4 linked regions of the Saccharomyces cerevisiae S288C genome follow. Changing the gene in region 2 together with the main gene of any one other region gives a genetic interaction. Each region holds a gene or a part of one and is shown on either strand. Other genes may lie near its edges.

Region 1 (8,404 bases), 330 kb from region 2:
CAGTAAAAAGGATACGCTCAAGGTGAGACCTACACTGATCAGCAGCGACATGGCGGTCATCACCGTAGTCGAGGCAAGCAATAATGGACGGCGCCCGACGTGGTCGATGATCGCAGATGCTGCTAGAGTGACAACGACATTGAGGATGGAAATGGCAAAATTTACCTGAATCGAGTAGTCCGGTAGAATCTTGCCGATCACTTTTACACCGTAGAAGATAATAGAGTTGATGCCGCAAAATTGCTGGCACGACAAGATGGCGAGTATAACTGTGCGCGGTTTCTTGTATGAGGGATCGGTAACATATTGCCATAGTGTGGGTCCTGAATGAGTCTCTTCGCTTGACTCCGGGTCGCGGTTGTGCCCATGGCTACGCTGCCAATCCTGAATTTCTTGCTTCGCTTGTTGGTACGTTCCTGGACGCAACTTGAACAGAGCAGTTTCAGCTTCCGAGACGAATCCGTGGCTCACCAGCCACCTTGGAGATTCGTCCACTTTGAGCCAAGCTAAAATATTCGCTACCGCAATCACGGATCCGGAAAAGAGAAGCCACCTCCAGTTATAGGAGTCTGCGTACTTGAGTGCCAAGGTTTGGGTCAGCAGGATACCTAGATTGATAGAAACCTGATTCATAGATCCCATAGCGCCTCTCCACTCCACGGGGGCAATCTCGTTGATAAATAAGGGTGTGATCACAATGGCGGTGCCGCAGGACATGCCTACCAGGAACCTGCCAAATAGCAACTGCAAGTAGGAGTTGGAAAAGAAAAGCAGCAGAGAAGAAACCATGCACATGGCCGAGGCGCCCATGCTCACGTACTTTCTTCCGTATCGGTTGGCCCAGTTACCGGCGTAGTACGACCCAAACAGTCCGCCTATGCTGAATATAGACGTAATTGCGCCGTATTGAGAATCGGTTAACGCAATGCATTGCTTGAGTCCGTGTTGCCCAACCCAAGTGTCATCGTATGAGATGTTTTCGTCTGGTGCCTCAAATCTGGAGCACGATAAGAATTCTTGAGGCGCATTCAACTCTGCGATGTGGTATCCGTACTGGATCGACCCCAAACAAGCAACTATCGTGCCCAAGATTAAATGGCCCGTAATTAACGGTTTTGTTTCGCGGGAACCACCGTTAGGCATTAGTCTTTCAGTTTCAGCCATGACTTAGTTTGTTATGCCTTAGTCTCTGTGTTTTGTTGTTGTTCCAAGAGAGAAAGATATTCAGCAACTTTTGTTCTCCTGTTATTCCCTTAATCAGGAAGCAACTTTAAGGGAAATCCATTTCATCCCTCACACTTCCCATCTTTTCTCGGACAACCTTACATTACGCCTACGACGTATGACTACACAAGCAAGTTCGTTTTACAGACCGCGTATCATTGCTCGTTACAGCTCTACCAAAAGTGTACCGAGCACTGTGCCCAGAAGCTAAGCTTTTTTCGCTAACATATATATATATTTAGGTAAATCATTTACACTTTTCGTCGATCTAAAAGCTCATCGCATTTTTTCGGTCCTGATGTTAAAAATTTATTTCGTTTATTAAAAAAAAAAAAAACATTACTGAAACGTATAAAAGAAAAGTCTTAATCTATAAATATGGTTTTATCATAATTAGACTGTTTTACTCTGTCCATTGGTCATTATAAAGCCTGAAAATACCCACTGAATGGTTTTTTTCGCAGGAGCAAACCTTTTCCATTTCTAATAAACCTTCTGCACTATTTTTATTCTCATAAAAAACAATTGTCAAAGAAAGCCTACATAAAAAAAATATGACAGCAACGATCACAAATAAGAAATCATGCTCTGGTTCTGTTGAGGCAGGAAAGACACGTTTAACAACTGAATGGAAGCCTGAAAGCCAAGTACCCCAATATGTTAAAAATGAGCTCTCTAAACCCCATCCAAACTATATCCTGGCGTTTTTGAACGTGGTACAGCAATTAAAAATTCAGAGAAGAACCGGTTATCTTGACCTCGGTATTAAAGAATGTGAAAGCATATCAGATCACATGTACAGATTGAGCATAATCACCATGCTGATCAAGGATTCGCGGGTTAACCGCGATAAATGTGTCCGGATCGCATTGGTGCACGATATCGCCGAATCTTTAGTTGGCGATATTACTCCAGTTGACCCTATTGGGAAGGAAGAAAAGCATCGTCGGGAATGGGAAACCATAAAATATCTATGTAATGCTCTGATCAAGCCATACAATGAGATCGCGGCAAAGGAAATTATGGACGATTGGTTGGCTTATGAAAATGTCACCTCATTGGAAGCTAGATACGTGAAAGATATCGATAAATATGAAATGCTTGTACAATGTTTTGAGTACGAGAGGGAATACAAAGGAACGAAAAACTTCGATGATTTCTTTGGGGCTGTAGCTAGCATAAAAACAGACGAAGTAAAGGGCTGGACAAGTGACCTTGTCGTGCAGCGCCAAAAATACTTCGCCGATTTGACTCAATCGATAACTAAATAATTATCATAAATACCAACTTTTGCGTCATAAAAGTACAAAGTAACTACCAATACATAATCTTCAACGTACTGTCCATAGGTTGTCGTGGCCAAAGATGATAGCGCCTATAGCGTGTCTTCCAAGTAAAGCCAAAATTCCAATGCAGAATTGCAACTTCAAGATTGTATTGCACAATTTGTCTTCCCTCATAGGGCCAAACCATACTAATGTCAAGTTTATTAACGTCATATTAGAGGTGCTAATAATCTCATTATTTTCATCAAATTCCAGGTCAATCAAATGGAGACAGTATAGTAACTTCAAGATCGGTTTAAAAATGCTCTTTGGCGGTTCTTCTTTTAAGTTTGCTCTTGATGGATACATTAAACCGTCTTTTTCATTAAATTTAGGTAACCTATGTCTCGGGCAGGGGACCAATTTGAATAGCTGAGGACATGAATAAATAAAATTAACGATTTGAGGAATGAATAGCAAAAGCATCGTCTTTGAAAAATGACCCAGTATACCAACGACTGCGAATACCATTCCAGCGAAATAACAATATGTATCTCCCACAAACACTGTGGCGGGCCAACGATTCCATTTCCATAGCGCCAAGGATACACCCAAAAATGGGATAATCAAAACAGCGGAAAACCTATGGGAGTCTCTTGTGGCTAATGGCCCCATCGAGAAGTACAGCAAATCGTTCAATAGCGCTAAGATGGCCAACACTATACATTGGCCAACCTCTAAACCATTAACACCTGCCAGGATGTTGATGGAGTTGGGGCAAAAAATTGCCATCGATGCCATATAAACATAATACCACAGCCCCAAATCAACACTAGTCTTTTTCAACCAGCGTTCCATGAATCCGGGAATAAGTACATGCGTAACTCCAAAATCCACATAATAAACCATTAGCAGTGGGATGGCTGCAATGGCAGGCAAGAAAAACTTATGTCTCCAACGTAAATCAAATAAATCATCAGCGATACCCAAGAGGACCGTACTTTCCAAGCATAGGATAGCGCTCAAATATTCAGATAGTTTATCATGAGGAAAAATATTAGAATTCATACCGTTATCTTCAACCACTGAGACATCGCGATGGCCCCCACCTGAAGTGGTTATGACCATATACTTGTAGAAAATGAAGGGAATGTAAATGAACATTACAAATAAATAAACTGCAGCAGGGATAGCACCTATTGTTTCTGGAAGCACCGGACGGCCAGGTTTACTCAAGTCCTTACCGAATAGGCCTATTTTGATGAAGGATTTGCCCACACGTGGAATCAACATATCTGTAGCTAAATAGCCTGCTATACCAAATCCCACGGCCGCAACAAGAGCAGATGGGCCCTGATTTTTGGAATAGTAGATTAAGCATGTGATAAGTGCCAGTGAAAAAAGTCGCAACATATAGTCTACTTTTTGTTACCGTTCTCCGCCTTGCTCTACTTGATAAAGTTTTTATTTACATATTTCACAGTTATATACACATGTTAACAATTTAATTTTCGCGCTGTTTAGTAAAGCATTTTTCGAGATTGAGGCAATATAAAAGGAAAGGGCCATATACAGGAGATGAAGGAAACCTGTACTATTATTGTATTAAACACATGGTAGTAGCTAGAAAAAATTCATGCATCAACCTCTGTGTTTGTATTCGTAACATATAAATCCACAAGAAATTTTTTACTCATCATCCGCTAAAAAAAGGAAAATACGGACGTTACTTACTAAATGTACGACGAACATGTACACAAATCTTGACTATTTTTGATAGATGCAGTCTCTTGAAATGACCAACGACTCAGTAGTGTTTTCCAAGCAATTTTACTTTCAACTGTTTAATATTTTTTAGAGGCTACTCGGCCGGCCATATCTAGACAATTAGTAATTCCGATGACAAAGAGTTTAAAACCACAATATCTGCCACACATATCGTGAAAGGCATTAGTTCCATTGTCTCCGTATTAGTGCAAAGCCCCTAAGCCAGCCTGCTTTAAAAAATGTGCAGGTACTTTTGTTATTGTTTTGATATATAAAGAACTACTATTTGCTAATATGTGATGTAGCGCAGAGAACTTGCATTTCCCTGCATGGCTGACCTTGACAAGAATACAATTAGCAACAAAAAGTAATAATTCAAAATGACCACATCTTTTTATGATTTAGAATGCAAGGACAAGAAAGGCGAATCTTTTAAGTTTGACCAACTGAAAGGCAAAGTAGTTCTCATAGTTAATGTTGCCTCCAAGTGCGGCTTCACGCCGCAGTATAAAGAATTGGAAGAACTATACAAAAAATATCAAGATAAGGGGTTTGTTATTTTGGGGTTCCCATGTAATCAGTTCGGGAAGCAGGAACCGGGCTCTGATGAACAAATTACGGAATTTTGCCAGTTGAATTATGGCGTTACATTCCCAATTATGAAGAAGATTGATGTTAACGGAAGTAATGCTGACTCTGTCTATAATTATTTGAAAAGCCAAAAAGCAGGTTTACTAGGTTTCAAGGGTATCAAATGGAATTTTGAAAAGTTCTTAGTTGATTCCAATGGTAAGGTTGTCCAAAGATTTTCCTCCTTAACAAAACCATCGTCCTTGGACCAAGAAATCCAAAGCCTGTTAAGTAAATGATATCTTTGTCTATAATCAAGCAATTATCCGGAACAATAAATAATACATTTATAGATTAGTATGATTATATATTTTTCTTCAGAAGCATGGTGTAGGATATATTAAAAAAAATCGAAATATAAAAAAAGAAGGTTTAATGAGTGGTTTCGTTTTCCGGAATTTTCTCTGCTACCAACTGTTCAGTTCCAACATTCGACGTATCCTCAATCTTCGCTTTTTTGCTCTCTACTCCATCAACGTTCTCCTTCTCATTAGCGGTCTGATCTGCAAATTCTTCCCTTATCCTTTTACCATTTTCATCTTCTTTCTTCATTCTATCTTTAGTGGCGTCATCCAATACAATCCCTGCGTTAAATTCCTTTTCCAAGCATTGCAGTAATGTATTTCCTCTTCTGGCTAGCTCTACAGGTGTCCTGCTTCTGAAGTAAAAGTCTAATTCGAATAGGGGACAATCTCTAATTTCATCACGCACTAATTCGTATACGTCATCTCTATCCAAGCCATACTTGAATAACATGAGAAGGATAAAACGATCTTCTTCTTCAGAGTACGTCCTTTTGTTGTTAGAAGAAGGAGGATGTTTTAATTTCAAATCGAAGAATGGATTCTTATACTCAGACAACTTCCGACGTAAAGCCTCTTGTTGCATTTTGACACGCTTGATCTTCTCTTCTTCATTCTCAATTATTTTCAGATATTTCTCATAATCTTCAATTCTTTCAATGTTAGACCAGAAGGCCTTAGCATATGCGCGAACTTCCTCTAGTGTTTTGCCAGGGGCCAATTCTCTCGCAATGGCTTGAATGGAGTTCCTACCGTATTTACCAGATACCGTGATGAATTTTCTAAATTCTAATTTATTCCAATTTGTAAATCCTTCAGACTCCCAATCAGCCTTCATCTTTTCTTCCTCTTCAGTTAATGGTTGCGAGTTGTTAACCGACAATTTTAACAATTCCAATTTTTGTTTCTTTTCTTCTTCATCTGAAATATCGCCATATGCTGCTTTTACGTCATCCATGGTCGGTACATAACCAGTCTTCTTCGCCGTCCACATTCTTTCCTTTTCGTACAGGACTTTCAATTGGGGAGGTTGTAATTGATGGGAATGGAAGACATGAGGCTTAGGCATTCTGGGGTGTGATGGGGTCGAGGACCTTCCTGTATTCAAAACATCTTTATAATAATTATCAATAGAGTAATTTTCCTTACGTTCACGTTTGGTGGGGTTGAGCAGTAGCGGACTTATAATATCCCTTTGTATTTTCTTCTTGAAATCTTGACCATTCCATTCATAGGCCGAATCTTGGTTGAATTTTTGCAAATCATCAAGACCTAAAGTTTCATATTTTGCATTTAATGACTTAGTTTTGTTTTCTGATTTCAGTAAAAGTTCGTCCAGATCAATATCATCTCCTTTTTCTCCTGAACCAGGTTCCGGCGTACCAGCTGAACCGGTAGATGTACCACTTTTGAATACATCGGCGGCACCATGTTGAATCATGGATAATAAAGCATCTTTGGAATCTGCTTTATTTTCCTTCTTTTTCAAAGAAGTCCTGTTTTGCTGGATAACTAATTGATCTAATCTTAACTTCTGGGTAGCCCTTTCTAAAATTTTCTCTTCCACGGAGTTATCTGTGACCAAACGGAATACCTTGACCTGCTTCTTCTGACCAATACGATGCGCTCTATCCATTGCTTGTAAATCTGCTTGTGGGTTCCAATCTGAATCATACAAGACAACGACATCTGCTGACGTTAAATTGATACCTAACCCACCTGCACGTGTCGTTAATAAGAAAACAAACTTCTTAGAATCAGGAGCATTATAATCATCAATGGCTTGAATTCTATCTTCGTGAGCGGTGGAACCGTCGATCCTGCAATATTCATAGTTTCTGAAGTAGCAATAATCCTCGAGAATATCCAATAATCTTGACATTTGACTGAAAATCAGAACTCTAGAACCTTCTTCCTTCAATTTCTTCAATAACTTATCCAAAACTTGAAGTTTGGCAGCGTTATAAACCAAGTGCTCATCCGTAGTGTACGGTGGACCTGGCTCAGCACCATCGAATAAATATGGATGATTACAACATTTTCTAAGTTGCATCATGATATTTAAAAGTCTTGTTTTGGATTCCTTGCTGCCATTAGACCCGTTCACAGCGTCCAGATCCTTTTCCAAAATCTTTTTGTACCATTTCTTCTGCATGCTAGACATACCGACATATAAATTCAGTTCCTTTTTAGGCAGTAAGGATGTTTCCACATCGCTTTTGATACGACGTAGTAGAAAAGGCTGTAAAACAGTGTGGAGTTGCTTGACAATTTTATCCTGATCTTCCTCTGTGCTTTCAGAAGAAAACCAATCGTCGAAATCTTGTGCATCGGAAAAGATATCTGGTAACAAAAAATTTAATAACGCCCATAGTTCATGCAAATTGTTTTGCAAAGGAGTACCAGTAATCAACAGCCTATTACGTGAGGTAAATTCCCTTAAGACTTGCGAAAGCATTGACTCTTCATTCTTGATTCTGTGAGCCTCATCAATGATAATATACTCCCAGTTAATCTTCTTAAGGGGCGACTTTTCTCTTATAATAATTTCATAAGAAGCAATCACAACATCAAAGTCACAACCTAAAAGTTTTTTTTGGATCAGTTCAGCTCTTTCTTCTTTATCTCCTTGCAAAATAAAGGCGTTTACGTCTGGCGTCCATCTATTTATTTCTCTCAGCCAATTATTTAAGGTAGACTTAGGCGCAATGACTAAAAATGGACCTGGAATTTTTTCAATGTACCTAAGATATCCCAGAAATGAAATAGTTTGCAGGGTCTTACCTAAACCCATTTCATCAGCAAGGATACCCGCTATTTTGTTCTTATGCAGAGACACCAACCAGTTGACACCTTGGATTTGATAAGGTCTCAATTGACCATTAACGTAAGCAGGTGATTCTCTGAATTGGAATTCAATGCTCTCATCATCATCCGAGTCTTCTTCTTTCAATAATTCCGCATCTTCTTCGTGTTCAGTCTTTCGTCTACGAACATCTTGGTGTTTGCCTTTGCCTTTGCCATTTGCTTTATTTTCTTCTAATACATCTAAGACCTGCCTGAATTTGGGATCTTTAGCGGCTTTACTTTCAATAAAATGCTTGAATAAACCACTCAAGGATAGCAGATGTTCAAATCTTTTTGTAGTGCCTTCCAGATCAAACTTTTTACCATTAGCATCCTTCAGCAGGTAACGTTTTTTATTCGATTCAGGAT
Region 2 (7,768 bases):
TGATCAAAGATATAGAGTAACGTAATAATCGAATAGGTGATTAATAGAAGCAAACTCAAATTTGTTTTCCGGTACTTTAGAACTGATCTGAATACACTTTTTAATTTCATGCCGTGATTCTTTAACTTTACCTATCAATTTATTTCCTTGTAGATAATTTTTCACATTATTTTTTTTTTTTTTTTTTTGGGACTAAAGGCTATTCAAATCTTTCAGATGTTTGATTTGCGCCCGCAGCGTATCGTTATCAAATTAGTGAAAACGTGGATATCAACTTGAATCAGCAATAGGCCCTACTTAATATGTGACTTGAACCTGAATGAGTCGTGCAAGAATAAACCTATTAAATACAATCAGTGATTAAATAATAGCTATTTTATTTAGTATATAAGTGTCCATATTTGGCGTCATTGTTCTCTGAGACATATCTCGCCGGGCTTTACAAACGCAAAGGTAATACTATCTTTCAATTCGGTGAACGAATCTGTGATAACCTCATCAAATAATTCATCTTGTCTTGCTGGATCGATATGCTTATAATGAACGAGACATTGCCTAATGTATTGTGACTTTTTGGCATCATCGTTGGTGGCTGCTTCATTCATTTTCTTTTGTAAATCCAGCGCACTTGTCCATGTCGTAGTGCTACGCTTTCTCAGCTCTACGGTGTTCTGCTGTTGATTTGTTTCAGGATATTCAATTTCCTCACCTAAACCATCGCAAGAACAAATTAAGTCATGTGTGTTACTCTTGGTATCTGTATGGACAGAAAACAGGTCCTTCAAGTCCTCTTTATTGAAAAGATCATCATTAGAAGATTCTTTATTTCTCATCTCCGAGTCACCTAGAAATTTTTGGCTCAAACTGTTCTTCATTAATTGCCTTTGCAATATTTTCTCATCGATACACCCAGTTGTGACAAGTCTATATATGAAGCACGGCTTTTTTTGACCATCTCTATGAATTCGTGACATCGCTTGCAAATCTACTGAAGGATTCCAATCATTATCAAATAAAATAAGTCGCGAAGCACCGACTAGATTCAATCCTACACCTCCCGATTTTGCACTCAACAAGAATCCAAATATGGCTGGATTCCGATTGAAAGATGTGACGATAGAGTCCCTTTGTTTAGCAGGTATGGAACCGTCGAGTCTGCAATGTGACATCCCAGCCATATTCATCAAATTTTCAATTATATCCAATGTTTGAGTGTAGTTAGACACTACGACGACCTTCTCCTTGGTACCCTTCCTAATACCTTCTAGTAATGTCATTAATACCTTTAACTTACCAGAGTTCAAAGAACGACTATAGCTGTCCTGAGATTGGGTATCCTTTATATGTGATTTGTAATAGGGATCTGAGCCAACCAATCCAGGAGAGTTACAAACCTTTTTCAGTAATGTTATTAGTCCTAGCGAAGAACTGAACGTCAATTGTCCAAAATCTAAACGTGCGCCCTGCAAAATATCTTTGAATGCCAATATCTGTTGGCTGTATGGTTTACAGAATAAAATTATATCCGTCTTTGGAGGAAGGTACTTTTCTAAAATCGCATTTGTTCGTCTCAAAATAAATCTTTTCGTAATTTCTATCATCTCTTTTGACCTTTCTTCCCCCTTTTCCAACAATTCTTCGTTGTATCTGTTTGCAGTGTCTCTGGCTCTAGTTATAGGGATAATGAATCTTCTTTTGAAAGAAGCGAAGCTTCCAAGGATTCCTGGGTTTATGAAATCTATAATAGTGAAAAACTCATTAAGATCATTTTGTATAGGAGTTCCCGTAAGCAAAAGCTTCCTTCTTATGTCTAAACTCTTCAGCGTATTTAAAATTTTAGAAGCCCCGTTTTTTAGTCGATGGCCTTCGTCACACACCAGCATGTCAATCAAATGTTTATTTTTCTCTAATTCTTCAGAAACACTCAAGAGTTTTTCGTAGCCAATAATCAAGACTTGATAAGTTCGTTGCACTTTTAAAAAATTTCTGACAGCCATTTTATCCATATCAGGAGAATTCCTTGAGCTTAATGTCAAAACACCTATTCTTGACAAATTTAACCATTTTCCAAATTCTCTTTTCCAATTTCCTATTAAAGTAACGGGACAAACGACTAAAATCTTCTTACAAAGTCCAGTTAATGGTATGCCTGATTGCGAACATGAAACTTTTGATGCAAAAGGAGTTTGCCTAATTAATGTCCAAATCAAAGTTATACTCATTAGTGTTTTACCTAAACCCATATCATCAGCCAAAAGGCATCCACTAATATCTGAGTCATTTTCTAACACTAAACTTTTAGTAGTACAATCGATATCCGGATTTTCAATAGTTGGTCTTGCCAAGCCCATTAAGCAATCATACATGAACTTCACCCCTTCCCTCTGATGAGGGCGCAAGAATTTGCCCAGTAATGGATCAACAATTACGTCAACTTCAGCGGCTGCATTTTTGTTCATTACTATAGGATTATCGATTTTGTTGACATCAAATACTGGATAATATTTTTTGGCTTTGGAATTTTGACTGGTTTTAGGTACTGTGGTCATGTGTTCATTTGTTTGCTTTGTTACTGATTTGAATCTTTTCACAGTGTTTAGTGAAAACAGCTGAGACAGAGGCATTTGGTATTTGCCACCGTCATTCTTCGTAGAAGGCACTGTTTCTGTTGTGCTTGTGGTCGGTGGGCTGGGATTTCCCATGTTTTGTGATAAGGCTTCTTTGGCGCTACGTATTTCTGCATTTTCCTTCAATTCGTAATCCAATTGTACTTCATTGGAGCCTGCTTTGAAAAGAGTTTCGAAGAGAGAATCTGAATCACTTGGTAGCATACTTGACCCAAGAAATTTCCCTGCTTCGTTATAAAAGCATAACTTATCGCTACTGGCTTTTAAGGTAGCGTAGCCATCACCACTCCAAGTCTTGTGCTTTTTGGTAGTAGGCTTCCTGTACATGATAGTAAAATATCTAGTGTTTTCATTTGAGGACAGATTATTCGGCTTCTTGGCAAGATTTAAAGTAGGTCCCGCCGAAATGCTTCTTTTCAAGTTGACAGTAACTTTGGCTTTAGATATAGGGGCTGTTGTGACTGCAGTGGCGGTTGGTTTGAGTTGTGTGTACTTATTTGATCCAACCCTTCTTGGAGGCTTGAATGGCTTGTTCTCATATTTCGGTATCTGCATTTGAGTAGTACCGGAATCAAATACCGTTTGATATACCGAGCTGTTTTTTACCTCCTGTAGGATCTTCTCTCTTCGTCGAGGTTTAACGCTTATTACCGCCATTTCAATACAAAAACTCGATTCTAATCGGTTATTTATAGTAGGTTTTCTTTTTTTTTTTTAGCTCTTCGCGTTTTATTTTTTATTTTCTTGATGCATATATTAACGCGATCGAGTAAAAATGCCTTTCCCAGAAGTAGAAGTAGGCAAGACATCCATATTTCAAGCCACATCCATAGAGATACCTCCAACAGCGCGTTGTTGAAGATTTTGGTAATTACAAGAACGAGGTTAGATTCCTTCGTTAAAACTTAGTCAAAAATAACGGTCATATATCGAAGCCAAAGCAAGTTTTTATAACTATTTATTCATCAACTCATATATATCTAAACTAATTCTAAGAGGTAAAATCGCTCAGATGTGATGACCATATGTTTCAAGCCCATATGCAAGCAACAATGGTCCTCGCGAGAGGGACAACACTATAGAGCCAGGTCACTTTAGTTACCCCACGATTCTTGAGAAGAAACCTCAATCTTCTTGACGTGGTTCTTACCATCCTTCTGAGGCTTCAATTTTGGAACTGTTAATGTCAAAACACCATTTGCGTAGTCTGCTTTAATGTTGTCTGCATCCACACCTGGGTAGTCTGGCAAAGTGATGACTCTCTTGAACTTACCAGAGCTGCTCTCCTTGACCTTGACCTTGTCTTTACTCTCTTCATTCAAGGTAGATGGAATTTCACCAGAAACCAAAATTTGGTTCTTGTTTTGATGGTACTCAATATCAATGTCCTTCTTGCTTTTGACACCAGGAACCACGACTTTCAACTCGTAGTTGTTGTCATGGTCCAAAATATCAACTGGAACTGCGACACTTCTAGGGAAACCGAAACCAGATGGGAACAGGGACAAGTCATTGTCGAACCAATCATCTAAGGTTTCATCTCTGGGATCATAAAGAGCGCCAGCATAGTTATTTGGTCTAGCAACTTCCTTGCCAGTAGAATCCTTTGCGGGTGTGTTTGCTAACTGACGTCTTGGTGCGTAGCCTCTTAAGCCGCCTTCACCCAGCAATCTGTTAAAGGCATCAACTTCGTTGTTGATGTTGTCAAAGAAATCAAAAAATGGACTGTTAAATGACATGTTAATTTGTTTAGTTTGTTTGTTTGCTTTTTTGGATACCTGTTTTAATAGAGATCTGATATATCTTTATCGGTGGTTTTATTAGTATAAGAGAGTAGAATGAAAGGTGAATGGATTAAAAACAGATCTCTAACTAATGGAGGTCCTATTTATATGTTTAGGAATAAGGGTGAAAAAGAACCGTTGTTATGAAATACCACTCAAGAACGTGCATAGATCCGCAAGGACATCTAAAACTCGCATATTACTTAATTTTGTGTTGCGAGCACGCTAAGTGCGAATACCTTACTGTTACGAGCACCCTATATTTTTGGACGCATAAGGGGGAGGGAATAACCATCGATCTTTCTAGAAATCAAGCAATGCTTGAAAAAGCACTTTCGTTGGTTGTGGATGTTCATGTAAAGACGGTTACTATTCCGATCCAACAATGCACCTTGACAGGCAAGGTTCTTTAGGGGTACACACGGAGTTAGGGGTACACACGGAGTTGCTGCTGCCCCAGTAACATCCCAGTGATTACCAAATGAAGACACATAACCAGATTATTTTGTGCCACATTGCCAAGAAGGTAAGAGAATTGTGGCTTACTGTAAGCTACAGGTTCAACGGTGCATGCAAGATGGCCGCGTTATTTTTTTGGGGTCCCCCCCTGAGGCTTATGAGAGAGACCCATAGTCTTGTTTTCAAGGAGCCAAATTGCCAAATGAAAAGAAAAGAAAGTTAAAAATTCAATTAAATTAAACTAGGAGTAATGTTAGTGTATGTAGTAAGAAAATGATTGATGTGCGCAGAATATTGAAACGGAGACTGAAAACATTCTATTGACGGATTCCGAGCGAGAATCACGTAAAGAAGGTTCTAGAAAAAACATAAAAAAATGAAAAAACAAAGTGAGGTTGGAACTAGTAGAGCCGTTTAGGGACTCTTAATTAACGAATTGTCCAACATCAACAACAAAGTGTGTCCTATGGTAGGTTATATTAAAAAAAGTCCAACGATGTCCTTCTACTGGAACCCATATCCAGGTTGTCCAAATTTGATTCGTGCAATGTTTCGATAGACGCTGTCCTTGAGGAGGAGTCGTTTGAACAGAAGACAAAGAGAGCTTTAGAATCATCGATTGCTATTGTGTTGTTAATTTTGAAAGCGTCTGTTTTATCCATCTCTTCAATATCTTCGTACAACAAATCGTGAATGGAATAGTCATTATCTTGGGAAAATATGGAAGAGATCGAGCTCTTGGTGGAGGAAAGACTGGCGTCTGATTCGCTCCTCGTTGACTGCGTTGGTGATGGAGCCATCCGCAGCTTTTCTTCCTTTGCAGCGTTTGTTTGCATGTGCCTCATGGCCGAGTGGTAGTCTTTAAGCAGTGTTTCGTCCAGTAACAAGCTGCTCCTTTTTAACTTTGACTGACTAGATGTGCTTCTCTTATTCGTAGGAGACAGGAATTGAGAAGGAGCTGTGCCCTCCTCCTTTTTCTGCTTCGTCTTGGAGTGTCCATGGCCAAATTCGCTAGTCAGCGAGATTAGCGAACTTTTGGATCCTAAATGCATGGATTGTCTTTTCTTGGTGTCTGCGTTTGTGTTAGTGCTGGAATTTTTAGAGCGTCTTAGCATTTTACGTATTTTGTCTTTTTGTGCCGTCACAATATATAGTTGGTATGTTCTTTATCGTCGTATATTTCTCGTGCCGAGCTTGCGCCTTCTTTAACAATAAACCAAACGAATATTGAGGCTTCTTTATAACAGTTTGGCAAATAGTCAAGAATATAATGAGCAGCCAAGCGCGAAATTATGAATTCTATTAATATCCGCACTAGTGAATTCGAATACTTCCTTTACAGGTCATTTTCTCCTATTGCTCCAATTTACACTGCTGTGCTTTTTTTTTTAATTACGCGCATTAGGTAATTTTACCCCTACGCGAAAGTTAGTCGTAATTTCGTGTTTCTTTTTTTACGTGTTCTGTCTGTCCAGAAGCAAAAATGTTCTTAGCGAAGCCATCCTAATATTTCATGTACAAGGGCCCGCAATAACTGTAATCGGCGGTTTATTATTGTATCAGGAAAGTCGAAAGAAGTGACTTGAAGATCATGAAAACGGCCTACTTGGCGTCATTGGTGCTCATCGTATCGACAGCATATGTTATTAGGTTGATAGCGATTCTGCCTTTTTTCCACACTCAAGCAGGTACAGAAAAGGATACGAAAGATGGAGTTAACCTACTGAAAATACGAAAATCGTCAAAGAAACCGCTCAAGATTTTTGTATTCTTAGGATCGGGAGGTCATACTGGTGAAATGATCCGTCTTCTAGAAAATTACCAGGATCTTTTACTGGGTAAGTCGATTGTGTACTTGGGTTATTCTGATGAGGCTTCCAGGCAAAGATTCGCCCACTTTATAAAAAAATTTGGTCATTGCAAAGTAAAATACTATGAATTCATGAAAGCTAGGGAAGTTAAAGCGACTCTCCTACAAAGTGTAAAGACCATCATTGGAACGTTGGTACAATCTTTTGTGCACGTGGTTAGAATCAGATTTGCTATGTGTGGTTCCCCTCATCTGTTTTTATTGAATGGGCCTGGAACATGCTGTATAATATCCTTTTGGTTGAAAATTATGGAACTTCTTTTGCCCCTGTTGGGTTCCTCCCATATAGTTTATGTAGAATCGCTGGCAAGGATTAATACTCCTAGTCTGACCGGAAAAATATTATATTGGGTAGTGGATGAATTCATTGTCCAGTGGCAAGAATTGAGGGACAATTATTTACCAAGATCCAAGTGGTTCGGCATCCTTGTTTAAGTAAACCATTTATGTAGGATAGTAAAACTTCCAACTATTTTTGAAGTCTTATGGTGGCACCGCACCTTCTTTGATGCTTAAAATTTCCAGGATTGCTTCACAAAATATAAACAATCCGGCCAACGCATTAAAACTACCACTGCTAACCAGAAAGTAAATCAGTAAATCACTTACTTACAATTACTACGTATACAAAGCAAACAATCACATTTCATGTCTGCATAATTGCACAGTGTATGCATAATGCATTACGGCACCAAATTTGGTGTGTAAAGGATAATGCGACACCGGTCTTAGAGATTTTTGCACGAGGATTATTGCCGTACGGCTATTTGGTGTCGTCTCACTCTTCGCCGCGCCGGGACGGCCAAAAATACAAAAAAGGTCAGTCAGGGCCGGCAACCCGATGAGGAAAGGGCCCTTCCAGTAAACTTCACATTATCTTGACAAGGCATTTTTTTTCAAAAAAAGTGCATTTTGATGGACAAAAAGAAAAGAAAACCTCCAGGTTATATTCTTTAACTTGACAGTGTCTGAACATTTAAATTTTTCGAATGGGTTACCTCATCTCACCTGTTTTGGAAATTAATGTT
Region 3 (8,303 bases), on a different chromosome or scaffold from region 2:
CATATCTTTAATCTCTATGAGCGAGAAAAAAGAAGAAGTTAAAAACGCCACCGTTAAGGTGACTGTCAAACTTCCAAAAGAAGATAACCATTCGCATAATACGAAACATCTCAAAAAGACCCAAAGTTCAAAAAATAATGATATATCTTTTGAAATCGGCAAGGAATCCAAAATTCAAACTGTTCTAGATGTGTTGGCTATGATTCCAAGTTCCAAGTACCTGACAAACGTTGGGCTGAAAACAATTGAAGGTGACTCCCAGCTATCTGATGAAATGTCTATAAAGGAAATTGTTGGTGAGAAAAGCGAGTTAAAACTTCAATTGATACTGAAGCCATATAGCGCAAGAGAGGCTTTGAAACATGTGATTACTGTTCGCGATTTCATCGGATTTGCCCAAGAAACCTCAGATGGATTATCTGAATTTGCTATTTCTACTGGTTCAAGCTTTTCCTCGTTACCGTTGGGTCCTATCAAGGAACGCTCAAAACAAGAAGAAAAAGACGAGAAGAGCGATCCAGAAGAAAAGAAAAATACTTTCAAAGATGTGACTGACGAGGAAAAACTAAAATTTAACGAGATGGTTCACGAAGTGTTTTCTAGCTTTAAGAATTCTTCAATTAACAAACTTCTCACCTCTGAATCCAACATCATCACGCCGTGCGTCAGGTCTTTGAGTTTCGCACCTTACAATCCTGTACCTCCATTTTATAGAAGTAAAGGTCATCTATTTTACCTACAAATTGTCACTTTGGAAGGTGAGAGTTTCTATATCACTGCAATTCCATCTGGATTCTATGTCAATAAATCAAACTCAACTAAGTTCGATCCTTCTCCAAAAGAAAACACTGACGAGAACGCGCACTCATCCCTGATCTATTACAGTCTATTTGACTTGATTGCTTCTCGCTCTAAAAAATTCATTTCTCATGTCCAAGCATTCGAGAAAAAACTATCTGCTTTAGATTCTACAAGCTATGTAAGACCAAGCAATACTTTCTTGCATAAACCATGGTTTGTTTCTTCATTGCCACCAAATAACCCAGATTATCTGAGGTTACAAACTGCCGCCTTGGATACCACGCCAGAAAGAAACTTTAATGATGAATTTCAAGCCATTAAAGATTTGACTACGTCAACATTACAAGATCGTATTGAAATGGAAAGGTTGTTTTCTAAAGTTGTACATGAATTTTCTGTTACTGCAGCATCAGGCGCTATGTCAATTTTTTACAGTGATTTCGTTGCAATGAACCCAGAATCTCCAACTCGGGATCAAATTTTCTTAAAAGACAATATCTTTTATTCCTATGTTTCCGACGTTAGTGGCAATTATGAAGGGAAAGGTGGGGATGAAGCTGCAATCGCTGCTTCCAACCAAGACTTGAAGACAATCAATATTTTGAATCGCTTGCATATGCACGAAGTTCGTTATCTTTTAACAACTGTAGTCGAATTTGCAGGCAGAAGAATTTTGGCTCAAACTCCAGTACCTGGACTCTTAGCTACCATGGGTAACAAAATTGTAAAAGATGCTAATACCGGCGAAGAGGTTACCGAAGATTTTGTCAATGATATTAATGTAAAGTACGGCCTTGATGAAGGTTTGGGAAAGATTGTTTATGATGCTGACTTTGATTCTGTTTTAGAAAAAAAGTTTGTCAAGGCATTCCATTTGAAAAAGCACAAAGTCAACGGTACTGAATTAGCATTTTCATCGCAATCCAAGGGAATAGTTGGATTCGATAAGAGGCGCTATATTTTGGATTTAGCCAACACGTATCCCTTGGACATCAACTTTGCTAGACAAAACTTTGACAACATCGAAGAGACTGGAAACCGTTACCCACACAGGCAAACTTTGTTACGTCCGGAGTTAGTAGAAAAGTGGTGGAATAATAAAGTTGAGAAGGAAGGTGTTGAATTTGAAAAGGCCTATGAAGAAAATTTGTTTAGTTATAACCCTGATGCTTACCAGGTCGAAGGTATTGAGGACGCTAATGTTGACGAAATGTCGAACTACTTACAAAAAGAAGTTATTCCCAGCGTTATTCAAGATTATTTATCTGGAAATTTGAGCACTCCTTATAATGGTGAACATTTAGCCGATACTTTACATAAGAATGGTATCAACATGCGTTACTTGGGTAAAATTATCGAGCTTTCTCAAAAGGAATTGGACTCCCAAATTGTCCACTACGAACAAAATTTGAAAGCTGTTGAACAAGACAACAAAGAATATGAGGATTGGGAAAAATCTTATCTGCAAAAAATTGAGAACATGATTAAAGAGAGACAAGCCAAGATTAATAAGCTGGTACAAGAAGGCAAAGAGGTTCCAAAAGAACTAACTGAAGATTTGAAATTAAACGATGAAGAAATCAAAAAGCCCACCGATGGAAAACCTGTGGTCGTTGCCTATGATGAGCTAGTGCCATTAATTAAAATTTCCGAATTAGAAATTGTTTCGCGTTCTTTGAAACATGTTTTAAAAGATTTGAGTAAAGATGTTCCGGTCTTCTTGGTTCCATCACTGGTAGCATACGTTTTCAATATGTTAGTTGGTATCAACTACAATGCTGATCCGAAGCCAGAACCAGTCGACGAATTTTATCCAGTCAATAAGTGCTCATTTGCTAAATTAACACGCTCCGAATTGCTGGAAGCTGTCTCTAAACAAGCCTTCTTGCGTTTCCGTCATCAATTACCATCCAATTGGATCGAAGCTTACATGGAAAATCCTTTCACCCTCATTAGAAGTGTTTCTTACAAATTTGGTATTCAATTGCTCAATAAAGAATACTTCTTTACTAGAGAACAATTGGAAAGTTATAAGCAAAGTCTTGACAAGAAAATTAGGAACAAGTTTGTCGAACCACCAACTACCTTCAGTTTAAGCGATTTGACCATTATTCCACGTGTTAAGTTCTCAGAATATACTTCTTCAGTTAGTGAGGAATTTTGGGCTCAAGGTGCTTCTATGATCAACGAAGACAAACAAAGTGCTTTGACTTTACTCGCTCAATCAATTACAGTCTTAGAAGATGTTAACAATATTTTACATCCCGCCGTTGCTGAAAAGTACTTGTCATTATCTGCCATTTATAATAAGTTAGCATTATACCCTGAAGCTATCGCGTTCTGTCGTAAAGCATGTACTATTTATGAAAGAGTTAGCGGTATTGATTCTTTTGAAATGATGAGGGCTTTAACTAATTTAGCAATTCTAGAATTCTCTAATGAAAGTCCTTATAACGCTACTGTGGTTTATAATAGGCTCGCAGAAATCCTAAAAGTTTATGAGTTACCAAAAATCCATCACCCAGCCCCCACAAGCATTTTCAACCATTTGGAACAATTAGCCCTAGGTGTTCAAGATACCAAATTGGCTATTGAAGTCTTGGGACAACTAAGCTCCTATGTTGTGGAATTAGAAGGCAAAGATTCATTAGCATATGGCTATACCGAGTCACGTTTAGGTAATTTGTTTGCAGCATTGAAGGATTTCCACCGTGCATTAGAGCACATCACTGTAACCCAAGGGATTTTCACCAAGCAATTGGGTATGAATCACACGCACTCAGCCCAATCAAGACAGTGGGTTAATGGTTTAAGCTCATTAATAATGGATTTAAAACAAAAGAAGCAACTTGCACAAGATCAAATGTCGACAACGGGATCAAATTCAGCTGGCCATAAAAAAACCAATCACCGTCAAAAGAAGGATGACGTTAAACCTGAATTGGCTAACAAAAGTGTGGATGAGTTGTTAACATTTATAGAAGGCGATTCTTCCAACTCTAAGAGCAAAAACAAAACCAACAATAAAAAGAAGCATGGTAAGAAATAGAGAGCTAACTTAACAATCTCGTTTATTTATTATTTTTCTTTATATCTATAGCCCATACTTGTATATACTACGTGTAAGTACTAGATATAAAACGAAAAAAAAATACTTACAATTATTTTTTTTTCTTTACTGCTCTATTCTTTTCTTTATTCTATTCATAAATGCAAACAATTAGTTATGTAATTTTAAAAGTTGAAAATAATTGACTTTGTCAAAGAGTAATTAATTTTTCACAAATCATCATAAATGCAGGTATCAAAATATTGTCATTAAGCACACTATTACCTTCTAGCACTCCACTCAGTGTACAAAGGGTAAGCAATTGTAAAGTAGTTAGGTGGTTAAAAATTGCAGCTTTATCAAAACGTAACAATACCAAACAAACGATAAAACTCGTTACTATAAACGCAAGAGTTCCCTCTAAAGTTTTTTGTGTACCTTTCCAACGAATGCGGCCATACCTTTTACCAATAATAGATGCTAAGGAATCACCAATTCCCAATCCTATTAGACCCATTGGAGAGTTATTCATTAATAAAGGTGTTGATATTCCGAAGAGTAAATAAAGGTATGATATGATCAATGGCCCGCTGTGGTCCCTATCATCAGCAAACCTTCTTAGTTGTAATTCAATAGCAGATCCTAACGGCGGTAGGTTTTGAAATCTTATGTACTCAATTGATAAGAAGACTGGTATTGTTCCGGACAATGCAATTTTCACAAAGTTTGAATCCATTTGGAATGACGGTATTATGAGTAAGAAAATGATGAAATGCCACAATTTTCGGGAGGTGTTCAACGATAGACTGTCCTTCTCGATCAATATACTTGGTATGGACAGTATAAGAATTGAAGACCAAGCAAACAAAATCTTTTGACGAATAGTAGACTCTAAGATATATTTTACCAGCCAAAGTAGCGGATTTTCACCGTCTTCTAAATGAATGAAGGTATTGGCAAAAAGTGGAAGCCCGATGGCAAAGGATATTGACAGCATAAACGGTTTAAAGTGCATTACCTTTTTGAGCACATAGTTAATTGAAATTATTGTTGTGAGAGCAAGGATAATGCCCTTCAAAATTCTAAAATGTACTGTGCCAGCCTCTGAAACGTACAGAATATTGGTTAATAGGATACTAAAAAGATTAGAGTCGATATTATCTAAACTTTTCAATTGCCCAATATACTTCAAAATTAACGACAGTAAAGAATTTATTACTATGCTAATAATATTCTTTAACCTGTCACCAGCCTCAAAATTAAAAAATATGAGGCAGAGCTGTAAAATGATCACTACCAACTGAGTTCGCCATCTATATGAATTTAATACCGAAAGGATCAAAATAGTATTTATCACCGTAGATGATGTATCGAACAACAACGAAACCATAAACGGTAAATATAAACTGTAAATGGTATCGAACTTGGGTAGGCTTTTGTAACCATGTTGCCAATATTTTGTGAATATCAGACCAACCATTATCAAACACACCACAAAGACATTTACAAAGATTTGTTTATAAGATATATCAGCGGTAACAATGGACCACGGCTGAAGCCTTTCAACACAGTAAAAAAAAGTGCCCAACAATATAACAGTTTGAACAAAATTCGAATAAAAGCACTCAAAATCTCGAGAATTCCCGCCCACATCAAATTTACGAGTCCTCATATTGATTTTGCAGATCTCCTCAGTTGGCATTTGGCTTCCCTCAGTTTTCTGGGTTAGTTTAATTGTGGTAAAGGAAGCATGAGGTATTATAGCGACCATATAGGCAATGAACAGAATAACGACAGTTTATTGCCTCGAAAGGAGTCTGATTTACTAGCTAAATTCTAATATTTGGCTTACTACAAACTCTATCTTTCATAGAATACGTCCTTCGATACCATTTTCACCATCTTGACTAACAACGTGTACAACTCTTTTGAAAATTACGTGCCTGAAAACCCAACCATTGCGGACAGCCCTCAATAACGTATCTTAGCATTACCCGCACACCCATACATCTAGAACTTTTTTCATTTCTGAAAATTTTTTTTTCTTCTAGGATTACTTCGGGTATAAATAAGAGACGCAGAAATGGTTATTGGCAATTAATGCTTCCTCTCTTTAATAAGTTACAATATTAGAATCCTATGATTTCCATCACAAAGATCAATACAAAAGAAATATTCAGATGAGTGGGAGCTATGAAAGGCTGAGAGAGAAATTGAATCCATAAAACGTTTTTTTCCGTGTTCTTTTTTTCTTCTTTATCAAAGTTAGTTTTTCAGATATGTCTTTTGTCATTATCACAGGCTAATTATTCCCTTGATGACCAAAATAAATTTTTACAAACTAGAGTTTCTGAATCTTTTGTGATTAGAACGTTTATTCTTATTTCTGAGGTTTTTAATTAGCAATAAAGAAGAAAAAACTGAAAGGAAAAGTCTAAATAGAAATACAGTAGTATTTCTTCAATTTCTCTGCTCTCCTTTCATTTACCACACCCATTTCAATTTTCTTTTTATTCCATATTTATTCAAAGGTGTTTGTTCATATGATGATTATAACAAAAACAAAAGCTGGAATTACTGGCTGAACGAGTATATGTTGATACGTTTTTGCACTATCCTGACCTAGCAAACACCTTTAAAATAAATACTAGAAAGTTGACACATTTCCATAAATTGGAAGAATACATTTAAGCTTAGAAAACAGTAGTTTTTTAGTGCTATTCTTCCGTAGATTGATGTTTTCGATCTATTTGATACAATGGAAATGAGGATCCACAGCACTGGGCACTGAGGGGGAAACAAATATCCTTTCAAATGAGTGACAATGCTTTAGCGGGCCTAGAAAACCCGCGCAACTGATCCATTGTAAGTTTTTCTGAGGGCTAACAGAATTTTCTATAGGGAAGAATGGATTTTTTTCTCATTTTCGTATAATTATGTGAATTGGTTTTTATGATGAGATATTTATAGATGACGAGTCTGATCATTCGTGAAGACACAACTATTAAAATTACCATTCATGCCTTTCTGAAGCTGTTTACATTATTCTTTTCGATTAGCAAAGAATTTGGAAATAGAAAAAAATCGACAGATAACTAGTTCATCAGTTGATGTGTCTGTATTGCTTCCATGTTTTTTAAAGAAAATTTCTACCTTAGAGACGTCAATGCTGCAGAAGATGAAACAAATTACTCAAATAGACAAGCATATGTCTGATCTTCATGATTGAAAAGAGCAATTAGTGTCTGATGCAATTTAAACTAGAAAATTTATCTGAGAGAGATGAGAGATCGTACAAACTGTTTCAAGGTTTTTAACTTTTCTCCAATTTCAAAAATTGTTTATGATGATTTCCACATTTCACGACGGTCAACTGCGTTTTTCGAATGTTTATCGATTAACTTTGATGATATTTCGCCTGTGACAGGGCGTGGTACTGAGCTTTAATATTTTTAGCAAATTTAGAAATTGGGTCAAGCGAACCATTGTAATGCTGACTATTTGGACGACTCTAATCTCTTCAATATATTTGAGTTCAAATATATTAACTTGAGTAAATTTTCTCTTGCGTTAATTATAACTAATTGTGATGTGATGACAACTTCTTGAGCTATATATTTTCTTGAGAACATCAATGAAGAAAACGTCTCATCAAATGATTTGCACGTCAGTCTGATCACAAGCCATATAAAATTCTTTAAGTATTTTATCCATTCTACCTTTTTCATCTGTTAGTGATCGATTAAAGCAACACCCAGACATTACATGGCCCATATGGCAAAAATTTTCATCTCATCTACCTCATCACTGTGTGCATTTAGTGTATGAATGACTACTTTAAGCAATTTAACCAGTATATACGTATAAAGAGGTCAAGTGTACGGATAACCCAAAGGAAACATGCCTTCCGAATCATCCGTCTCTATCTACAAGCTTGATCAGTTGGAGTATCAGTACCATTATTTGACAAAATCATTACAGAAGTTTGAACCAAGATATCCAAAAACTGCCAAATTATACAATTGTATAGGTAAAAAGAACAAAAAGAAAATTGAAAAACTGTTAAACTCTTTAGAGTTGAAAACTTTGGACAAAGAACTAGATGAAAGTTACTCAAAGTTACTCAATAATAAGATTCACTATTACGAGACGCATTTATCAAAATGTATAAAAGAACAAATTCAGAAAATATCCAAAAAAAATTCTAGTAAAGTGAAGGATGCTCAAAAAAATAAATCACCCTCTATAGATATTGAAAAGATGCTTGCTACGCAGTTGTCATTAGATGATTTAGCACTCTTCATGACAAGATTTAGGCTGATCAAAATCTTACACCAGAGGATCAAACAAAAAAGCAAAAAGATTGAAGGTGATACGAATAATAAAACTTGGTTGAATAACAATGATTATAGTGGTTATATCAATGATAAGACAAGTAAGTGGAACCCAAGCA
Region 4 (7,724 bases), on a different chromosome or scaffold from region 2:
CACACCTCCGTCAACTCATACTGAAGATTCGAAACGTGTTTCTAAAACCAATATTCGCGCACCCAGAGAAGTTGACCCCAACATATCTGAATCTAATATTCTTCCATCAAAGAAGAGATCTAGCACCCCCCAAATTTCCAATATCGAGAGTACCGGTTCGGGTGGTATGCATAAATTAAATGTTCCTTTACTTGCTCCCATGTCCCAATCTAACACACATGAGTCGTCGCACGCCAGTAAATCTAAAGATTTCAGACACTCAGACTCGTACAGTGAAAATGAGACTAATCATACAAACGTACCAATATCCAGTACGGGTGGTACCAACAACAAAACTGTTCCGCAGATAAGTGACCAAGAGACTGAGAAAAGGATTATACACCGTTCACCTTCAATCGATGCTTCTCCACCGGAAAATAATTCATCGCACAATATTGTTCCTATCAAAACGCCAACTACTGTTTCTGAACAGAATACCGAGGAATCTATCATCGCTGATCTCCCACTCCCTGATCTACCTCCAGAATCTCCTACCGAATTCCCTGACCCATTTAAAGAACTCCCACCGATAAATTCTCATCAAACTAATTCCAGTTTGGGTGGTATTGGTGACTCTAATGCCTATACTACTATCAACAGTAAGAAAAGATCATTAGAAGATAATGAAACTGAAATTAAGGTATCACGAGACACATGGAATACTAAGAATATGCGTAGTTTAGAACCTCCGAGATCGAAGAAACGAATTCACCTGATTGCAGCTGTAAAAGCAGTAAAATCAATCAAACCAATACGGACAACCTTACGATACGATGAGGCAATCACCTATAATAAAGATATTAAAGAAAAAGAAAAATATATCGAGGCATACCACAAAGAAGTCAATCAACTGTTGAAGATGAAAACTTGGGACACTGACGAATATTATGACAGAAAAGAAATAGACCCTAAAAGAGTAATAAACTCAATGTTTATCTTCAACAAGAAACGTGACGGTACTCATAAAGCTAGATTTGTTGCAAGAGGTGATATTCAGCATCCTGACACTTACGACTCAGGCATGCAATCCAATACCGTACATCACTATGCATTAATGACATCCCTGTCACTTGCATTAGACAATAACTACTATATTACACAATTAGACATATCTTCGGCATATTTGTATGCAGACATCAAAGAAGAATTATACATAAGACCTCCACCACATTTAGGAATGAATGATAAGTTGATACGTTTGAAGAAATCACTTTATGGATTGAAACAAAGTGGAGCGAACTGGTACGAAACTATCAAATCATACCTGATAAAACAGTGTGGTATGGAAGAAGTTCGTGGATGGTCATGCGTATTTAAGAATAGTCAAGTAACAATATGTTTATTTGTTGACGACATGATTTTATTCAGCAAAGACTTAAATGCAAATAAGAAAATCATAACAACACTCAAGAAACAATACGATACAAAGATAATAAATCTGGGTGAAAGTGATAACGAAATTCAGTACGACATACTTGGCTTAGAAATCAAATATCAAAGAGGTAAATACATGAAATTAGGTATGGAAAACTCATTAACTGAGAAAATACCCAAATTAAACGTACCTTTGAATCCAAAAGGAAGAAAACTTAGCGCTCCAGGTCAACCAGGTCTTTATATAGACCAGGATGAACTAGAAATAGATGAAGATGAATACAAAGAGAAGGTACATGAAATGCAAAAGTTGATTGGTCTAGCTTCATATGTTGGATATAAATTTAGATTTGACTTACTATACTACATCAACACACTTGCTCAACATATACTATTCCCCTCTAGGCAAGTTTTAGACATGACATATGAGTTGATACAATTCATGTGGGACACTAGAGATAAACAACTGATATGGCACAAAAACAAACCTACCGAGCCAGATAATAAACTAGTCGCAATAAGTGATGCTTCGTATGGCAACCAACCGTATTATAAATCACAAATTGGCAACATATATTTACTTAATGGAAAGGTAATTGGAGGAAAGTCCACCAAGGCTTCATTAACATGTACTTCAACTACGGAAGCAGAAATACACGCGATAAGTGAATCTGTCCCATTATTAAATAATCTAAGTTACCTGATACAAGAACTTAACAAGAAACCAATTATTAAAGGCTTACTTACTGATAGTAGATCAACGATCAGTATAATTAAGTCTACAAATGAAGAGAAATTTAGAAACAGATTTTTTGGCACAAAGGCAATGAGACTTAGAGATGAAGTATCAGGTAATAATTTATACGTATACTACATCGAGACCAAGAAGAACATTGCTGATGTGATGACAAAACCTCTTCCGATAAAAACATTCAAACTATTAACAAACAAATGGATTCATTAGATCTATTACATTATGGGTGGTATGTTGGAATAAAAATCCACTATCGTCTATCAACTAATAGTTATATTATCAATATATTATCATATACGGTGTTAAGATGATGACATAAGTTATGAGAAGCTGTCATCGATGTTAGAGGAAGCTGAAACGCAAGGATTGATAATGTAATAGGATCAATGAATATAAACATATAAAACGGAATGAGGAATAATCGTAATATTAGTATGTAGAAATATAGATTCCATTTTGAGGATTCCTATATCCTCGAGGAGAACTTCTAGTATATTCTGTATACCTAATATTATAGCCTTTATCAACAATGGAATCCCAACAATTATCTCAACATTCACCCATTTCTCACCTTCAGCTCAAATCCTCATCCCGGAACCTTTTTTCTTATTTGTTCCCTCTTCTACTACAAGAGCTTTCAAATTGTAGTCAAAAACCCGCTTTACTAAAAAAACATCGCCAAAAAAATTTCCAAAATCGCTCGTCTTGCCACTAAAAGTATGCAAAATATTATGTGAAGCAAAGTTATTTCGTGTCTTCCGCCTAACAGAACGTAAGCAGTTGACCATACTTTAGTATAGAGTACGAAAAAACACAAAGAATACCTTAATAAAATAAACATTGTCGTTCGCTAGGAAAACGGTAACGAAAACAAAAAACTAAAAGAAGAAAAGAGGCAGGACGCAGTAAAAGCAAGAAAACTGCTTTTTTTTCATGGCTGAAATGAAGAATTCGACAGCTGCTAGTTCCAGATGGACGAAGAGTCGTCTCTCCCATTTCTTTCCCTCGTACACTAATAGCAGTGGTATGGGGGCCGCCTCAACTGATCAATCTTCTACGCAGGGAGAAGAACTGCACCATAGGAAGCACTGTGAAGAAGACAATGATGGTCAAAAACCGAAAAAGTCTCCCGTATCCACCTCTACAATGCAAATAAAATCTAGACAGGATGAGGACGAGGATGACGGTCGAATTGTCATTAAACCAGTTAACGATGAAGATGATACATCAGTGATTATAACTTTCAATCAGTCAATATCCCCTTTTATTATTACATTGACATTCGTTGCGTCCATTTCTGGGTTCATGTTTGGTTATGATACTGGTTACATATCGAGTGCGCTAATTTCTATCAATAGAGATTTAGACAACAAAGTTTTAACTTATGGAGAAAAAGAATTAATTACGGCCGCCACATCATTGGGCGCTTTGATTACAAGTGTGGGCGCTGGTACTGCTGCTGATGTGTTTGGAAGAAGACCATGTTTAATGTTCTCCAATCTGATGTTTTTGATCGGAGCAATTTTACAAATTACCGCGCACAAGTTTTGGCAAATGGCGGCCGGTAGACTGATTATGGGTTTCGGTGTCGGTATTGGTTCTTTGATTTCTCCTCTTTTTATTAGTGAAATTGCTCCTAAGATGATCAGGGGTAGGTTAACCGTTATAAATTCCCTATGGCTGACAGGTGGTCAATTGATTGCTTACGGTTGTGGTGCGGGCCTGAACCACGTCAAAAACGGTTGGAGAATCTTAGTTGGTTTGTCCTTGATACCTACTGTTTTGCAGTTTTCTTTTTTCTGTTTTTTGCCGGATACACCAAGATACTACGTAATGAAAGGCGATTTAAAGAGAGCAAAAATGGTTCTCAAACGAAGTTACGTAAACACTGAAGATGAAATAATTGATCAAAAAGTTGAAGAATTATCTAGCTTAAATCAATCGATACCAGGAAAAAATCCAATAACAAAATTCTGGAATATGGTCAAGGAATTGCACACTGTGCCTTCAAATTTCAGAGCTTTGATTATTGGTTGTGGTCTACAAGCCATTCAACAATTCACAGGTTGGAATTCCTTAATGTATTTCTCCGGTACAATATTTGAAACTGTTGGATTCAAAAATTCTTCTGCCGTTTCTATTATTGTCTCAGGTACTAATTTTGTGTTCACATTAATAGCATTTTTCTGTATTGATAAAATCGGCCGTAGGTACATTTTACTGATTGGACTACCTGGTATGACTGTGGCGCTGGTTATATGTGCTATAGCGTTCCATTTCCTAGGTATTAAGTTTAACGGTGCTGATGCAGTAGTGGCATCTGATGGATTTTCATCTTGGGGCATTGTCATTATCGTATTTATTATTGTGTATGCAGCCTTTTATGCCCTCGGTATCGGCACTGTTCCATGGCAACAATCGGAATTATTTCCACAAAACGTCAGAGGTGTAGGGACATCCTACGCTACTGCCACCAATTGGGCAGGTTCTTTAGTCATTGCGTCTACGTTCTTGACTATGTTACAAAATATTACACCAACGGGTACATTTTCATTCTTTGCCGGTGTAGCATGTTTATCAACCATTTTTTGTTACTTTTGTTATCCAGAACTATCAGGATTGGAGTTAGAGGAAGTTCAAACAATTTTAAAGGACGGATTCAATATCAAAGCCTCTAAAGCTCTAGCTAAAAAGAGGAAACAACAGGTGGCCGAAGGTGCTGCCCATCATAAACTCAAATTCGAACCTACACAGGAAATTGTAGAAAGTTAGACTGCTACACCAACAAAAAATAAAAGATAAAGAACAAAAAAGAAGGAAGAAAGCTATAAAAGGGAGACAATTCATTTCATCTAATCTTAAAAGTTTTTATTTAAATATATAAGTAAGAGCGAAGTATTTAAAAATAAAAATTCATAAAAGTTGAGCTTGATGAAAGTTATATCTTTTCGAGCGGTATGTTTCTTTCGTGTAAAATTCTTCTTAAAGTATCTAACTTCTCCTCATCTTTCAAGTTTCCTTTAACTACAACTTTTTGGATCAATTCAACGGGAATACTGCTGCTTAAGTAAACATTATTGAGCGACCTGAACATTTTCAAAGTTTGAAAGAATAATGGAGAATGGCAGTCGATGAAAATATAGACGTTACTTGAAGAACGCATTCCACTAATAACTCCCTTCGCGTGCAACATCCCCGGCGATAAATGGACATGATTTCTACTCATTGGTGATATTGCTCCGGATTCAATAATCTTTATGACAGATTGAAGATTTGTTCCATGAATTAGTTCCTGTGGTAACTGCGACGCTTCAGTAATTGGTACGAGAACCTCATCTGATGGCTGAATCGATTTGATTGAATGTCCCTGAGTAGCACAGATCCATTCTTCGTCCGCTCCTAACGTTTTTATATGAAAGCGTTGTTTGTCATTTTCCTTAACAATGCGATGGATATCATCCACCGTACATTTATGAGTTTTCAATCTATTATGAGACAATAGTTCTTTCAGCGGTGTATAACCGTTTGAGTCAATAGTCAACTTTTCTTTCACCGCTGTATGTCGAAGCAGATATGATAAAGCTTTGGAAAGCTGTACATCCCTTTTATCTTTTTGTAGTACCTGGCGCATTGTCAAGTCCACCTTTCCCAGTCATTCTGCTCAATTCTGTAATAATGTATTATGCATTTTGCCATTATTTTGATGAGCTTTCCTCGCGTCACGGTGTCAGTAAAAAAGAACAAATACATCACGAAGACAGAAATACGGACAAGAACCGCAGAAGACATTAAAGTCAAAACATGAAGCTTAATTCAACTCGTGTAAGTATCTTTAAAGGAGATACACTTCCCATTCTTGAATTATTTTTTTATTTAATTTGCCTTATTTATTCAATTATTTATTATGTGAGCACCAGCTGAGTCTAAGACTTGAAATTAATTAATTCGGGCTGATTCAAACTTGAATGCATCAAAATATAAGATTGAATCAAAATGAAAAAATGGTAAAAAGCCGTACCAGAAATCAAGAGATGGAAAAGGTACTCGGAATGATTCCAACCTTCTTCCTTTTTATTTCGTCTGAACAATGATTCAGGGAACCTGGTAACGTAAATTATAGATGCCGCTACCAAAGCCACAAGTTCCCACGTAATTGCGTTCACTTTTATCCTCTCTTTCAGGTTTTCTAAACCATCAAAGGTGATTATTGCGGTTAATAGTGGCAAGGAACAACACACTACTGATACCGAAATGAAGAAAACTGTTTTATTGAATCTTTTCGAGGAAATGAGTTTGTCCGTCAATATAAAAAAGTATGCCACTAATCCTATGAAGTTCATTAAAAGGGTAAAAATTTTGAAGAAAAACACGTAATCATAGAATAGATAATAAAGAATTGTGATTTGTGATGATATCAATAAGTTGATATTCGATAAATACGAAAACTTCTGCCAATGTTCGAGATGTTGTTGTAGAGAAATATTTTTGACGAAGTGATAAATGAAATGCACCATACAAAATACAAAAACGTTCAATAAATAAAAATTGAATACAATGTAGTCTGTCATTGTAGTGGTGGTGGGGAACAAAGGTATCAAATAAAAGTCCGTGAAAAATATTAGGAGACAAAATGACAGCATCGAACCCAAGAGATATATTAGTGCTACTAGTGACTCGTTCCTACTGGATTTATTTTTGTACTGTTTCTGCAATTTTGCCAAGTCATGGAATGGAAAACCCTTCTTTGTTTCTTTTGTCTCTGCATTCTCGTTCGAATCTGTCCCCCTAGTATCATTGCTCTCTTTCTCAGTGGTTGTCTCGCATTTGACTGGGCTTTGCTCTATTGTAGTCAATGAAACCATACTGTCAATATATATGTACCTTTATACCAATATTATATGCGCTGACAAGAACTTTAAGAAATTAATTTCCTTTTCTACTTTTTTTCATTTTTATTTTACTTCTGCGTCCATATATCCGGACCATATATATGAGTGTAAATCATTTAGCTGTTGACACCATTGAGTATTTACAATTAAAACCAATTGAGCTCAACAGGCTTGCGTTGAATAATGTTGAGCTGCCCAACGAGCCCTTTTCTCGCGGAGTGCTGTCCGAATTGTCCGAGTTTTTATACGGACAGAACTATCGCTTCTTTGAAGTATATATAAGAATAGACCGGCTGTTCACCCCGTATCCTCCTTTTCTATCTCTTGGCTTGCTATGTTTCAATGTCAGCCTTTGCTTTTATGTGCCCTTGCATACACGTGAATATGTCTATTTTATGTAAACTATAACAGCTGGTACTGCCCGTACATATGCTTAAATTAAATAGCTATTGACGAAGGCCCATTTTCTCGTAGAATATCAGGGTAACATATGGAATAATCATTTTTCTCTGTCTATAAGTAGTAAGACTATTGCTTCTGATCCTTCTGTCAATCGCCTGTCTCCAGTTTTATTTCTTGTCACCTAGAGAAACATACGCTGGAGTTCCCTGTACTATCAAAAGTTGTTTCGGTCCCGCCATTTCCGACTAGCTCTATAGCTAATGGTT

Evidence for each region.
Region 1: of ALG14 (region 2) and ALG7, extra expression of one rescues a mutant of the other (dosage rescue), as found in Saccharomyces cerevisiae (one study listed by BioGRID).
Region 3: mutations in ALG14 (region 2) and SEC59 together harm fitness more than expected from each alone (negative genetic interaction), as found in Saccharomyces cerevisiae (2 studies listed by BioGRID).
Region 4: mutations in ALG14 (region 2) and TPT1 together harm fitness more than expected from each alone (negative genetic interaction), as found in Saccharomyces cerevisiae (2 studies listed by BioGRID).

Annotation. Positions count from the first base shown.
Region 1 is NC_001134.8:702,892-711,295, forward strand, and holds ALG7 (UDP-N-acetylglucosamine--dolichyl-phosphate N-acetylglucosaminephosphotransferase), read right to left. Parts: upstream 3,903-8,404; coding exon 2,556-3,902; downstream 1-2,555. Other genes in the region: VVS1 (Vvs1p), read right to left, coding at 1-1,164; YBR242W (5'-deoxynucleotidase), read left to right, coding at 1,779-2,495; glutathione peroxidase GPX2, read left to right, coding at 4,637-5,125; chromatin-remodeling ATPase ISW1, read right to left, coding at 5,259-8,404. UniProt on the Saccharomyces cerevisiae protein: UDP-N-acetylglucosamine--dolichyl-phosphate N-acetylglucosaminephosphotransferase that operates in the biosynthetic pathway of dolichol-linked oligosaccharides, the glycan precursors employed in protein asparagine (N)-glycosylation.
Region 2 is NC_001134.8:378,628-386,395, reverse strand, and holds ALG14 (N-acetylglucosaminyldiphosphodolichol N-acetylglucosaminyltransferase anchoring subunit ALG14), read left to right. Parts: upstream 1-6,461; coding exon 6,462-7,175; downstream 7,176-7,768. Other genes in the region: PFF1 (Pff1p), read right to left, coding at 1-110; DNA-dependent ATPase RDH54, read right to left, coding at 408-3,284; YBR072C-A (uncharacterized protein), read left to right, coding at 3,375-3,536; chaperone protein HSP26, read right to left, coding at 3,722-4,366; YBR071W (uncharacterized protein), read right to left, coding at 5,350-5,985. UniProt on the Saccharomyces cerevisiae protein: Involved in protein N-glycosylation. Essential for the second step of the dolichol-linked oligosaccharide pathway. Anchors the catalytic subunit ALG13 to the ER.
Region 3 is NC_001145.3:291,118-299,420, forward strand, and holds SEC59 (dolichol kinase), read right to left. Parts: upstream 5,622-8,303; coding exon 4,062-5,621; downstream 1-4,061. Other genes in the region: translation initiation factor 3 subunit CLU1, read left to right, coding at 17-3,850; BUD22 (Bud22p), read left to right, coding at 7,751-8,303. UniProt on the Saccharomyces cerevisiae protein: Catalyzes CTP-mediated phosphorylation of dolichol, the terminal step in de novo dolichyl monophosphate (Dol-P) biosynthesis. Dol-P is a lipid carrier essential for the synthesis of N-linked and O-linked oligosaccharides and for GPI anchors.
Region 4 is NC_001147.6:120,892-128,615, forward strand, and holds TPT1 (tRNA 2'-phosphotransferase), read right to left. Parts: upstream 5,799-7,724; coding exon 5,106-5,798; downstream 1-5,105. Other genes in the region: myo-inositol transporter ITR2, read left to right, coding at 3,110-4,939; IZH4 (Izh4p), read right to left, coding at 6,091-7,029. UniProt on the Saccharomyces cerevisiae protein: Catalyzes the last step of tRNA splicing, the transfer of the splice junction 2'-phosphate from ligated tRNA to NAD to produce ADP-ribose 1''-2'' cyclic phosphate.